Linked DNA regions of Xenopus tropicalis. Each later gene encodes a partner of the first gene's protein in a complex. Links are inferred from orthologs where the notes say so. Each region holds a gene or a part of one and is shown in the gene's direction. Other genes may lie near its edges.

What was found.
Region 2: the proteins of inhba (region 1) and fst are in contact, whole or in part, in a crystal structure (PDB 2P6A), measured with the Homo sapiens proteins. The link is inferred for Xenopus tropicalis from reciprocal best matches to the Homo sapiens genes INHBA and FST. Residues at the interface, in NP_002183.1 of Homo sapiens: Asp315, Phe327, Asp337, Trp338, Ile340, Ala341, Gly344, Tyr345, His346, Gly360, Thr361, Gly363, Phe368, Thr371, Arg397, Ser400, Leu402, Tyr404, Asp405, Asp406, Gly407, Gln408, Asn409, Ile410, Ile411, Lys412; in NP_037541.1 of Homo sapiens: Trp33, Arg35, Val44, Leu45, Arg60, Phe76, Met79, Asp135, Glu152, Pro154, Glu155, Val180, Val181, Asp182, Gln183, Tyr188, Val190, Arg221, Thr224, Cys225, Arg229, Ser230, Ile231, Gly232, Leu233, Glu328.
Region 3: the proteins of inhba (region 1) and acvr2a are in contact, whole or in part, in a crystal structure (PDB 7U5P), measured with the Homo sapiens proteins. The link is inferred for Xenopus tropicalis from reciprocal best matches to the Homo sapiens genes INHBA and ACVR2A. Residues at the interface, in NP_002183.1 of Homo sapiens: Ile340, Ala341, Pro342, His346, Arg397, Pro398, Met399, Ser400, Met401, Leu402, Tyr404, Asn409, Ile410, Ile411, Lys412, Asp414, Glu421; in NP_001265508.1 of Homo sapiens: Asn36, Asp53, Lys56, Phe61, Thr63, Lys65, Val74, Lys75, Cys78, Trp79, Leu80, Asp81, Asp82, Ile83, Asn84, Val100, Phe102.

Annotation. Positions count from the first base shown.
Region 1 is NC_030682.2:57,853,818-57,857,758, forward strand, and holds the start of inhba (inhibin beta A chain), read left to right. Parts: upstream 1-1,132; 5' UTR 1,133-1,509; coding exon 1,510-1,897; intron 1,898-3,941. UniProt on the Homo sapiens protein: Inhibins/activins are involved in regulating a number of diverse functions such as hypothalamic and pituitary hormone secretion, gonadal hormone secretion, germ cell development and maturation, erythroid differentiation, insulin secretion, nerve cell survival, embryonic axial development or bone growth, depending on their subunit composition.
Region 2 is NC_030677.2:192,428,116-192,432,218, reverse strand, and holds the start of fst (follistatin), read left to right. Parts: upstream 1-1,299; 5' UTR 1,300-1,389; coding exon 1,390-1,474; intron 1,475-2,472; coding exon 2,473-2,664; intron 2,665-3,459; coding exon 3,460-3,678; intron 3,679-4,028; coding exon 4,029-4,103. UniProt on the Homo sapiens protein: Multifunctional regulatory protein whose primary function is to antagonize members of the transforming growth factor beta (TGF-beta) superfamily including activin, myostatin, GDF11 or bone morphogenetic proteins (BMPs).
Region 3 is NC_030685.2:77,286,277-77,290,550, reverse strand, and holds the start of acvr2a (activin receptor type-2A), read left to right. Parts: upstream 1-1,470; 5' UTR 1,471-2,049; coding exon 2,050-2,104; intron 2,105-4,274. UniProt on the Homo sapiens protein: On ligand binding, forms a receptor complex consisting of two type II and two type I transmembrane serine/threonine kinases.

The DNA of each region.
Region 1 (3,941 bases):
TGAGAAAAAAAATATACATTCTCTTACATGCAACAGAATCACTATTAATTCTACACTGTATGTATCATTGTCAATTTTAGACCCTGTTTCAGATTTTGTTTTAGCTCCCTGATATCTCACTGCTGATTGGACTCCACTGGCAAAATAAGCAGCGTTCAGATCTTAAGTGCCTCAATCTTTGTCTAAAACTTGCCGCAAGGAGCCAAGTCAGAAGGGACACCGGCTATCTGCTTTCTCCTCAGGGGGAATGTAAAAGAAACAGTCAGTTAGTGATGCAAAAAAGTTTTTCCTCTATTCAATGGTGCTGAATCACTCGTTGCGGAGTACAGAGTCCCAGACTGTAGTATGTGGAGTTGCTCACTGATTTGAGTCGCAGGACTTTGTTCTAAATGTCATTAGAGCCTTTTATCATTGTAATATTTATATATATTAATTTGCCATCATAGCTGCAATAAGCAGAAAGGGTTACATACTAGTGTGTAGGTAAAAGATTTATCTTCTATCTATCTGCTCCTATCCAACTTTGTTTTTGGCTCTCAGTGGCATTCTGAGAGCTACAGTCCCACAATATCTGAAGGGCTGAAGATTGCCTATGCCTGCTCTATGGAAGGATAAAGTGCACATGCCAGTTACAGGAAAGAAAGTTTGTGTGTGCAACAACTTGTTCTGGCACAATGAATAGTTTATTACAGATCAGAGGCAAATGCAAAGAGATATCAGTATAAATGATGTTGTGCCTTTAGTAGATGTCAGAAGAATGTAAGCTGAAAATTAGAAAGAATCCAACACAGTCAGTGAGAGACAACATGGGATACTGAGGCTGTCTGTATATGAGAGGAATAGGAGCTAGAAAAGGGAGAAAGGGGTGATTCTGTTAAAGTGGTGAACAGAGATGGATAAAGTGACAGAAGAGAAAGAAAGAAAGAAAGAAAGAGAAAGAAAGAAAGAAAGAAAGAAAGAAAGAAAGAAAGAAAGAAAGAAAGAAAGAAGACTGATTAAAGGGAGGGGGCAGCAAAAAGCATGAGCTTTGGGATATATGAAGAGGTGTGTGTTAGTATGAACTAAGCAAAAGCAGCCTGTCAGAATCTGTTCCTCCCCCTTCCCTAATGAAGTCCTTACTCATACTGTAGACAAACTCCCACCCTCTCTCATTCACTCACTCACTTCAGGCTAGTCCGTCCTCTCTGTCTCTACTCTCTTTCACTCTCTCTCTCTCAAAAGGCAGAGACAGAAGTCAGAGCGTTTCACACTGACAGCCACAAATACCCACAGCACTTAAACCAGGGAGAGGGAGAGGGAGAGAGAGAGAGAAACTGCAAATCCAAACTTTACTGAAAAAGAGAAACTTTTTGCTTGTCTCTGAGAATTTTCTCAAGGAGGAAAAGAGATACTGTATATTTCAAGGAATTAACTTTCTCCACAAAACAAGAAGAGATAGAGACAGAAAAGGCAAATAAAAGAAAGAAAAGCTGAGTGTTTTGGGGGAAAGAATCATCACCTGGTGACAGGATGCCTGCACGCTTGCTGAAAGGAGTTTGTTTGGTACTTTGCTGGATTATAGTGAGGAGTTCCCCAACTCCAGGATCTGAGGGGCACAGCTCAGTGAATGACTGTCCATCTTGTGCCCTTGCAAGATTTCAAAAGGATGTGCCCAGTTCTCAGAGTGACATGGTGGAGGCAGTTAAGAAGCACATATTGAATATGCTGCATTTAAGAGACAGACCAAACATCACACAGACAGTGCCTAAAGCAGCTCTCTTGAATGCCATTAAGAAACTACATGTGGGAAAAGTGGGAGACGATGGGCAAGTTCAAATTGAGGATGTCATTGCAGGAAGAGCAGAAATGAATGAAATCTCTGAGCAAACTTCAGAAATCATCACTTTTGCTGAATCAGGTGAGTTTGTGAGACAGTAAAGTAGCCTTTAAATACCATACATTGGATATGTGCTGCTCATAAACAAAAGGGAATTATGGCTAAAATATCACAACATGCAGGAGGAGCTAGGGAGAATGCAATAATTTGTGTATGTGTTTTTTTTTCTTCCTGAGATTTAACCTTGGCCACAGAATGCTTGTTTGCACTTGCTAAATTCACAGTGAATGAGCTATCTCTGGGCAATCTTTAACACAGAGTACAAGTGCTTGAGGGGGATGGGCACTCTCCAAAACTATAGAAAAAGCAAAAAAAAAAGAAGGCAGGCAGAGAGTGTGAAACAATCCATAAAGGACTGGGGGATATGCTTTTATCATTAGGCTGATAGCTCAGTAATCACTTAGAAGTGTAAAAAATAATTACTGCCAAAGATTTGGTCAAAAGGTTATAAGTCAGCTGTTATGATCATTAAAGGCATCTGAATAGAGGAAGGTAGTGGCTTATGCGTGACGCTTTAAGATTCAATTCCACCCATTTACCACCAAAGAGTCCAGCCACAGCCTGCCTTGCAAAGCTTCACTGGCTCCTTTGCCAGAGTCAGGGGCTGACTGCTGCTGCTGCAGTGCACTTGTATTGCTAAGCAGCTTACAGCTGGAACGGGCAAACTTGCAGATTTATCGGTTTCACAGCAGAAAAATGTTTGAGAGATCTCCCCCCACCCCATATAAGCATGTTGCTTACCTTTTAGAGTAAGCCAGAGCAAAATGTGGAGGCACAACTTTTATCTGTCTTCTGTAAGCAAGATTCTTGTAAAAGCCCTCTGAACGCCACCGGTGAAACCCAGTCTTGATTGAGTATGTTTTGACACAGCTCCTGTCTCCCATTCATAAGAATAAAATAGTTCAGCATGTTCCGCAGACTGTGTTGAAAACTGTTGCTGCAAACAAACTACAGCAGCTCTTAAGCTGTGGAGCTGTCAAAACTCAGACTTCTTCTTCCTTTCTTCCTTCCTTTCTTTTTCTTTTCCCCCTGCAGCTATTGCTAGCAGTAACTTTAAAAGAAGCCCTCTTATAATAGCATTTTATCTGGTCACTGAGCCAGTTGGAAAAGAATGCCATTGTTTAGTGCAGCATATCGTAAGCAAAGTATGTGCGGGAACTCGAAGCAATTTTGTTTAAAATGTGCTGCAGGAATATAAACAATTAAGACAGCGCTCAGAGTTTCCAGTCTTGAAAACCTGTTGACTCAGATGTTCTGTCTGCAGGAAAGCCTTGCAGAAGTGTGCATGCTCCCAGATCAGACATTCCTGCCAGCGATTTGCTGCCTCTGAGAATACAGTGTAGTACTGCATTATCTGTTCTCTTCCATGAGGCTGGCAGTTGTGAGGTAAACCCCACTTAGCCATATACAGCCTGGGTCCTATTCATGCTTCTGCTCCTATCATCCAGGCTGTGGATAGAAAAATGGTTATGCCTTAAAAAAGAATGCAAATTCCACTCAGTATAATAACCAGCTGCATTGTTAATTTGTTATTTGGCACATTCGGTCAACTAGATATATCTATATATATATAGATTATAAATGTATGTTATAGTTATAATTCTCTAAACACTGCAAGGCACAGTTTTTGAAAAGTTGCTTTTGTGTCACCCAAAGCCAAAGTCTGTCTGTCTATTTATCTCCTTGTTCAGTTCTAATAGGTCTGAACTGTTGCAGTAGCTGCACAAACAAACCTGTACAGGTATAACAGTTTATGCAAGTCAGTTTAGGGGGAGAAAATTGGCTCATTCAGCAAAAGTTTGAAACCAGCAAAGGTAGTCATTATTTGTCATCATTTTCAGTGCCAAGCTTGAGCTGTTAAATTGGGTTAATAAAGTGATTGATAATGCCCTGTTCAACAAATAGGTCTGCTCTGACTGCTGGCACGTGATGTCATGTGTCTGTGCATTCCATTACCCTAGTCTATTCTAACAAGCTCTGCAGGCTGCTGCATGGCCAGACTTTGTTTGGTCTCAACAGCCAGATTCATTCTGTGGGTTGGATGGTTACAGTAGGAGACACAAGA
Region 2 (4,103 bases), on another chromosome or scaffold:
GAGTTATTTGCAGTCAAAGTCTGTGGCAATACAAATCCAAGCGACCTGCCAGTATCCAGGAATGCAGTCTGCATAGTTCTCTGTCTGTTGTCCTCTGGGCTCTGGAGGCAAAAAGAATAGAAAATGTAGAGGGACAGAGAGAGGGAGAGAGAGAAAAGAGGCAGCTTTTGAATCAACAATACCATTTTCCGTGAAGTAATGGTTCTGTATAAAAGGAAATATCGCCTACTCAGTTTCATTCAGCTGTGCCAAAAATGTTAGAAATGAGTGGCCGCCAACTTGCAGCGGAGGATGCCAGACTGCGCTTAATAAACTGGCCCTATAGAAGTTCATTATCGATGGGGCAATCTCTGGGGCTATGAAAGGAGACCGCCTACGTCGTCCCATTCCTGTCTGATACTCCAGACACTGCCACTTGAAAAGACTGTCACTTGGGGGGGGGCAAATTTAGGTATTAAACTTGTATTTGTCCCTGAAGACTCCCAGAGAGCTGGATGTGGGAGCAGACACTTAACTACTGTTTCAGGTTCTGGGAGTTATATTTTAAAAGGCACTTTAAGAGTTTGAGTGGGAGGTGGGTGGGGGGCAAGTCCTAACCCCCCCTCTTTAGACAGTGCGCCCCGATGTTGCCCGGTCTTTGCTCAGAAGGTGCCCAGGGGGAGCCAGAGTGGGTAGGTCCTGCCCAACAAGGCTGAGTCTGGGAGAGGTCACGTCATTGTCCTGTGCGCACCCAGCAGCACCTATAGCAGCGCTTCCCACTCACATGCCCCACTCCTATAGCAGCGCTTCCCACTCACATGCCCCACTCCTATAGCAGCGCTTCCCACTCACATGCCCCACTCCTATAGCAGCGCTTCCCACTCACATGCCCCACTCCTATAGCAGCGCTTCCCACTCACATGCCCCACTCCTATAGCAGCGCTTCCCACTCACATGCCCCACTCCTATAGCAGCGCTTCCCACTCACATGCCCCACTCCCTGCTGCTGCCTCTGCTGCTGCACAAGTAGCCACACTGCTGCTCCATTTCCCCACCAGCTGCTGGACAAGTTTCACTCTCTCTCTGCTTGGGACTCAGCAAACACTCCTTGCTACATTCTCTCTAGGATCTACCTACCCACTGTTCATTGGAAAAGGTTTCCAGAAGGTGGAAAATGTCACCTGATTCACTCTGAATTTTTCTTTTTACCCCACCCCCAAACACACACACACATTAGGAGACCGCCCACCGCAGACAGCTAAGACCCCCTTATAGATTTAAAGAGAGACTGCATTAGAGGCTGCTGTTCATTCAATAGAGCGATCATAAGCAGAGTCCGGAGTTGTGCCTGGTCCATTATCCCATCTCTCCACTTGAGACTCTGCTGCTTCTCCACTCTCTGCACTGAGGATGTTAAATGAAAGGATCCAGCCGGGCATGATTTTCCTCCTGACTGTCTCTCTGTGCCATTTCATGGAACATCGCGCAGTCCAAGGTAAGAACCTGAAGGACTTGATCACTCTTTTTGGATTTTCTTTCATTTTTTTTGGTATTAGGGCAGACAGTAGGAGAGGCAAGTTAGGCTGGTGACTTAGATCAGACTTCACTTTTACATATCTGCAATATCAAGATGGTAGTTCTGGATTTTAAGGGCTACAGTCAACTTGGCTTCCAGATTTATTAATGTGTATATAAATGTATCGGCAGAGAGTGCTACTTTACTATCAGTGGTTACAGTTATGTAACGAATCTAGTGACTTATTAGGGACTTGCGAGGATGTCGGTATTTGTTTCGTACTACTCTAGTTGTACTCCAGCTGGTGGGACAGAAGTTGTGGTGGCAAGTCATTGGCTGCCAGCCCCCTACTATACGTAGCAGAGGCGCAGTCGGACCCAGCGGTGCGCAGAATTTCTTCCAACTGACGCAATCTGCCTTGTGCTAATTGCTGCCTACTTGCAGTGTTAGTTGGCGCAATTCCAAATGGAACTAGTTGTAGTGAGTTGTTTAGAACTATTGCTGTTCAGCTTATCCTTTCTCTTAACTTTAAAAAAGGGGTAACATAGCGTGGGATTGGGGAGAAAACACGTTTCGAAATGGATTAGTGTTGCATGTAGATGTTCTGAATGTGCCTGGATTGCAACATGAGGTTGGATCGCAGGCTTGACAACTGACGCACTTGATACTGTAATATTTCAATAAAGCAGGGGTTTTATGGGCTCGTTATCTCAACATCTGGATGGGAGGCTGTTCAACAGCGCGGCCAATTAACCCTTTGTGTAGCCTGGGTGGATATCTATAGAGTGGAAGCCCTGAAGGGGTTAACCGTGCAAGTGTGAGCGGTTTGGCTGGGGAGAGACTGCTGTTACTAGTGCAGGTTATGAAAGAGGCCGAATAAAAGTAAACAGTCTAGTGGAAGTGAGCGCAGAGCACACGTGTTGTGTCTGGGTCACTGCTAAGTGACACTGATATGGCTGGGCCGCTGTCTCTTACAGCTGGGAATTGCTGGCTGCAGCAGTCGAAGAACGGCCGATGTCAGGTTCTCTACAGGACTGAGCTGAGCAAGGAGGAATGCTGCAAGACTGGCAGGCTGGGTACCTCATGGACTGAAGAGGATGTACCCAACAGCACCCTCTTCAAATGGATGATATTTCATGGAGGGGCCCCTCACTGCGTCCCCTGCAAAGGTACTTTACTTGACAATTTTTACTACCATCTCCTCGTTTTGAAAATGAAAGGGTTAAATTCCTACATCTCTGTAAGCAAAGAAGTCGAGAGAAGTTTTTTTTTTTTTTAGTACTTTAACATACAGTCTCTACTGACACGTTGTAGGAATACATGATTTAACCATCCCTGTGTATGCTTGATGCGACCTGTGCTTCCATGAAACCATGAAGCTGCCATATGTATTTATATACCCGCATACTTGACATATTTTGAACTGCTTTTGGCATTATTTTTGTATAGGGGGACGCAGCCACACAGTCCATATGTGTGTATGTGTGTATGTGTGTGTGCAAGAATAATCTCACCCAGCTCAGACTTTAGGATACTGTGCTAGCAGATTCTGGCCACCTACACTTGCTTATTATGTGTTATTTTTCACGGAGGGATTTATTAAAGTGAAGGGGACATCTGCACTCAATTTTGAGTTCGCTTTCTGGAGGAACTTTTGTTCTCTCTCCATAGATACTGCATGCTGTTTTAGCTATTAGGCACAGAGGGGAAATACTTTTCTTGTACTAGTAAGTTCCCAGTGTCAGGAGCTTGTATGAATCTGGCATATCTATCTATCATCTATCTATTTATCATCTATATTAGATACCATAACACCCCAGATGATCTTTATGTAATGGCACAGGCACATTAGTCCCTGAAAGTCTAGACATGCTGCTGAGATATGGGGCTATTTATCACATTCCTAGTAATACTATTTCTTGAGTACTTTGCCCACTGGCTAATTAAACCTGTTGCACTTACAGAAACATGTGAGAACGTAGACTGTGGCCCTGGGAAGAAATGTAAAATGAACAAGAAGAACAAGCCGAGGTGTGTCTGCGCTCCGGATTGTTCCAACATTACTTGGAAAGGTTCCGTGTGCGGAATAGATGGCAAAACCTATAAGGATGAGTGCGCTTTGCTCAAAGCCAAATGTAAAGGGGTCCCGGAGCTGGATGTGCAGTACCAAGGAAAATGCAAAAGTAGGTTAAACAAGTGGGGGGAGTTAGGGATCTGTGGGCTGGGAGGGACAGCCACATTAGATTGCTGTGATGTTACCTGAACCTCATGGGTGGGCAGCATGGAAAAGAAAGCTCTCATTGGGTGGCTTTTAGTAGCCTGAGAAGCTTTTTTGGTGCGCATTGGCTTGGGAGTTGCAAAACTTTATGTGATATAATACGGGTCCCATAAAGTACATAGTATATGGAGTAAATAAGAGCAATTTATTATGACCTTACGCTTAGCTGTGCCCCAGTAGTGCTGTAAGTCCATCTGTCATTCATTGCGCCTTTATACTGATCGATGTGCGCCCTTGCGCTTCTTTCTCTTTCAGAAACTTGCAGGGACGTGCTGTGCCCAGGGAGCTCCACTTGTGTGGTGGATCAGACCAATAACGCCTACTGTGTGA
Region 3 (4,274 bases), on another chromosome or scaffold:
AACTGACTTTGGCTAGTTTGGAAAAATAAACATGGCAACCCTGCCCTGCACTATGTATTCCCACTTAATACTCAGGAACGTCCAGAAAAATAATAAAAGACGCCTAAATATTATAATAATTGTTAGTATAAACATGAAGCACGGAGACTACATTCCACCCGATGTAAAGCAGCTCCCAGTACCCTCCAATGCGAGGTTGAGAGCTGTAGTTCGGCAACAGTAACTGTACTTCAGCTCCTGCAAAGCTCAACGGCTAGTATTGCTCCTGACCAACACTAAAATAACACATTCACTTTGTCCCAAATAACACTACTTTCTCGCCCCACCCCGCTCCCTTCGCGTCACTTCCGGAAACCCGCCCACTGCGTTTTGCCCACTCCTTATTGGCCAAAGCGCAGTTTCGGGACGACGTCCCACGCCGCGGCGCTATTGGCTCCGCTATCCGCCAGTCACAGTGGGCGGTGCCGGGTTCTCTCAGGGCTGGCTGAGGGAGGGAAGGCGAGAAAACAAAAACAATCGGTGCGGGGGCCGCCATCTTGGGCCAGAGGGGGGGCAGCAATCCGCGCTGCTGAATGGGGAGAGATGAGATTAGCCCGGGAGGTGGCGGACGTTCAGACACGTTGCGCTGGAGCTGGCGGAGGGAGTAAAGGCGGGCAGTTACCGTCACGGAGCGGCTCCTTGCCGAGGCGTGAGTGAGGGACAGACCGACCGACTCTCTCATTCCTTGGGCGCTTGTACCGTAACGCCCGTGTTTGTATTGGATCCCGGGAAGCGGGGGGCTCGGATATATCCCCTCATCCCTGGCCATGGGAACTTCATGGGCACTTGGGTACCAGCTGGGCTAACCTTTCATTCTACCAGCCCTTTCCTATTAGTATTCCTGGGGCACCACCACTGGCACAGCTCAGGGGGGGCGAAATCCCTCATACCCCCCAAGTCTGGCACACCTGCCCCATCCCACCCTTTCCTGGCTGACCCTCATACCCCCCCATCTCTTCTCCCCATGGACACGTCCTGCTCTTCCTAAAGGTTCCACTTGGCTATCCGTAGCATTATATGGGGGACACCCTATGAACTCCTGTTCCCTGTGGTATAAACCCCCCCTAAAGTTTCTCTTTGGACTGGTCCATCTCTGCTCTCTGGGATAGATCCTAAAGATTCCTAATGGACGTCAGCTCTGCACTCTGGGGTAGATCCTAAAGATTCCTAATGGACGTCAGCTCTGCACTCTGGGGTAGATCCTAAAGATTCCTAATGGATGTCAGCTCTGCACTCTGGGGTAGATCCTAAAGATTCCTAATGGACGTCAACTCTGGGGTAGATCCTAAAGATTCCTAATGGACGTCAACTCTGGGGTAGATCCTAAAGATTCCTAAAGGACGTCAACTCTGGAGTAGATCCTAAAGATTCCTAAAGGACGTCAACTCTGCACTCTGGGGTAGATCCTGATGGACTGGTCCAACTCTGCACTCTGGGGTAGATCATCATCTCTATTAGGGTAGATTGTAAAGCTTCTCACTGGACATCGTTTCTACTCTCTGGGATTTATGCTAAGATTTCTCCATGGACACGAACAGCTTTCTCTGGGTTGGATCCTAAACAGACATATCCAGCATTCTCTGGGACAGAGCCTAAAGGTTCTTGGCTATATACATCTCTCTGGGGAACATCCTAAATATTCTTCATGGTCATATATAGATTTCTCTGGGATACATCCTAAAAGTTTGCCATTGATATTAACTGTTTAGATCCCTCCCCAGACTTCTTGATTTGTGATTCTCCCTTTATTATAATCTAGTTTTACTCTGGGATATATCTTTAAACCCCCCCCCCCCTCCCTCAGGCTTTCTGCTTTCTCTGGGATCGATCCTAAAGGCTTTCCATGGATATATGCTTTATCTGGGATAAATCCTTATTGCTTTATCTGGAATGGGCATAAACTGTTTTCTCTCGGATTGTTTCTAAAAAGATCTTTGCGGACGCCTGCTGCTTCCTCTGGGATAGGTCATTGGATTGTTAAAAAGGAACACAAACTGTAAAGGAAAAAACATGGGAGCTGCTACCAAGCTGGCCTTTGCAGTCTTTCTTATCTCCTGTTCCTCAGGTAAGACAGTCTCACACGTGTTTGTGGTTGGTCTAATAAAATGGCTGATACGCCAGTTAAATGTCAAATCCTTACGGGGATGTCTGTGTGTATGCACCGATTGCTTTGAACACAATCTGGCATTGTAAAAGTGACACTTTTAGCTGCCAGTTACCGCAGATGAGTTAGCATTATATTGGTTAGATCTGCAGTTACCTACGTAGTATCAGTTCACTTTAAACTACCTTTCATCTGTATCACGCAAGTCTCTTTAGTTTTATCATCATGGCAGTCTCCATAATCTGATTTTATTTCTTTCAAGTCGTTTTTGTGTATCTAGCTGTAAACGGCCTGCCTTTCTTTAAGGGGGAAACTAGGTAACACGAGAATCTTTAAACAAAATTTGCACTGTATGGGCAAGGTGTCTGCTCCGGGCACGGAATGGCAAGGCTGCAACTCGCCCGTAGCTAGTTGCGGGGTTGCAGAATGCTTAGCATTGCAGAATAATTTGCAAAGTAAGTGGTTTAGGCAGGTGGCAAGCCCTATACAGTTCGGCTCACTGATAGATGCATTGCCATGGCTGCTTTGTGCACACATCGCTGCAGGATTTCTTGCTATAGTTGTGTGATAATCAATCAACATCCACTCAGCCCTATGTACGCATTAATATTCCCATTGCAAGGTTTGTTCATTGCACTGTAGCTTTATTTGCTTTAAGCGAGTCGTCCCAATTAAATCTTGTATATAGGTGGGGGACAATGGATGACCTTCTTTATGTGCGACATTGGTTTTTAGGCATTAACTTATATGAACTGCAAAAAAAAAAAACCCTCTGGAATACAACAGTCTAGTGTATAACTAGATTTTATCTAGAAAAGCCTGGGGTGGTTAACCTAATAAGTGCCAGGGATTCTTTAAGGATATTTCCATTGATTGTGAAGCCATCTATCAAAAAGCATTAAATTCTTTCATTGCCAAAGGGGCAAACAAGCCTGTTCCAAGTCTGTCTGGCAGCAAAAGGATTAACTGGCTCCAGTGCCCTTCTGGACAGGCATACATAGTGTTTTTTTGGAGCAACCCTTGGGCTTTTTCAGCCTCTCAGACTTCCATAATCCTCGCAGATTTCCATTTTATTAAGAGGAGTGTGCTTTATCCAGCGCTGTCATTCAGCTGCTGACATTTACCTGAATTTGTATGTATCGCCCAGTCGCAGGCTCCTTTTATTTAACCAAGCACGAACTGAATCCCACTGTCTTTGCTTCAAGAGCTTTTACAGTTTAAACTGCTCGCGTCTTGGAACCGGTCAGATTCACGCTTAGACGGGAAGCTGCATTGATTTCCTCATTTATTTTCCCCCATTGTGTTGCGGACCTGTCAGGGTTTATGCCAACTTAGCAAATGGTGTGTTGCGCTTTGGAAAATCTGCTCACTTGTCCAGAGCTGAGCAATGAAAGGCCGTGTTGTTTGCGAACAGAAGAAACGTGAATGCTTAATGTCTGATTTATCTGTTCCTTCCAGCCAGTGGAACGTGTTCTGGTTCATTGGTGCAGAGTACGCTATAGAGTCGGACCATTCTCCGGCCTTTCAGATTTGATTTCACTCTCCAGTTGCTCCTGAGTTGCTTCGGTATTGTTCCCCAAAGTCAGACATTCAGCTTTATTTATAAAGCTTTCAGGTCTTCAAGGGCTCTGCTGAATGGATCTTTTTCCTTGTGGTTATTAAATAGGGGGAGAGTCTAGCCCTATGTCTGTAGTGGTATTGATTCAATGTGGGCAGATTGTGCTGTGAAATTGCATTTTCTGCCCAAGATTAACTCGATAAAAGACCAAATGCCACTTTTAAAAAATGTAATCACAAACATTTCGTCGTTCAATTTCGTTTTAAAGTATCACGTTGCTAAAGCTTATCAAAGGGTCACGTTTCAGATCTGTAAGATCTCGTAGTAATTAAGGGGAAAGACTTAAAGCAAATTAAACCTGAAATAAAGATGTAAACATTGGTAAGAGTTCTTCTCTGAAATATTGTGTGTTTTACATTTTTCATGTTTTAGTGGTTTCTTAGAAGCTTGCAGTTTTAGATTGCTAATATGAGAAGCTCTTTTAGGGTTAATTTATGGTTAACTGGCTCTGCAGGTGGCACATTGAAAGTCAGTGACCATAGCTAAGAGAGCTGCTGAACCATTAAAATGTGA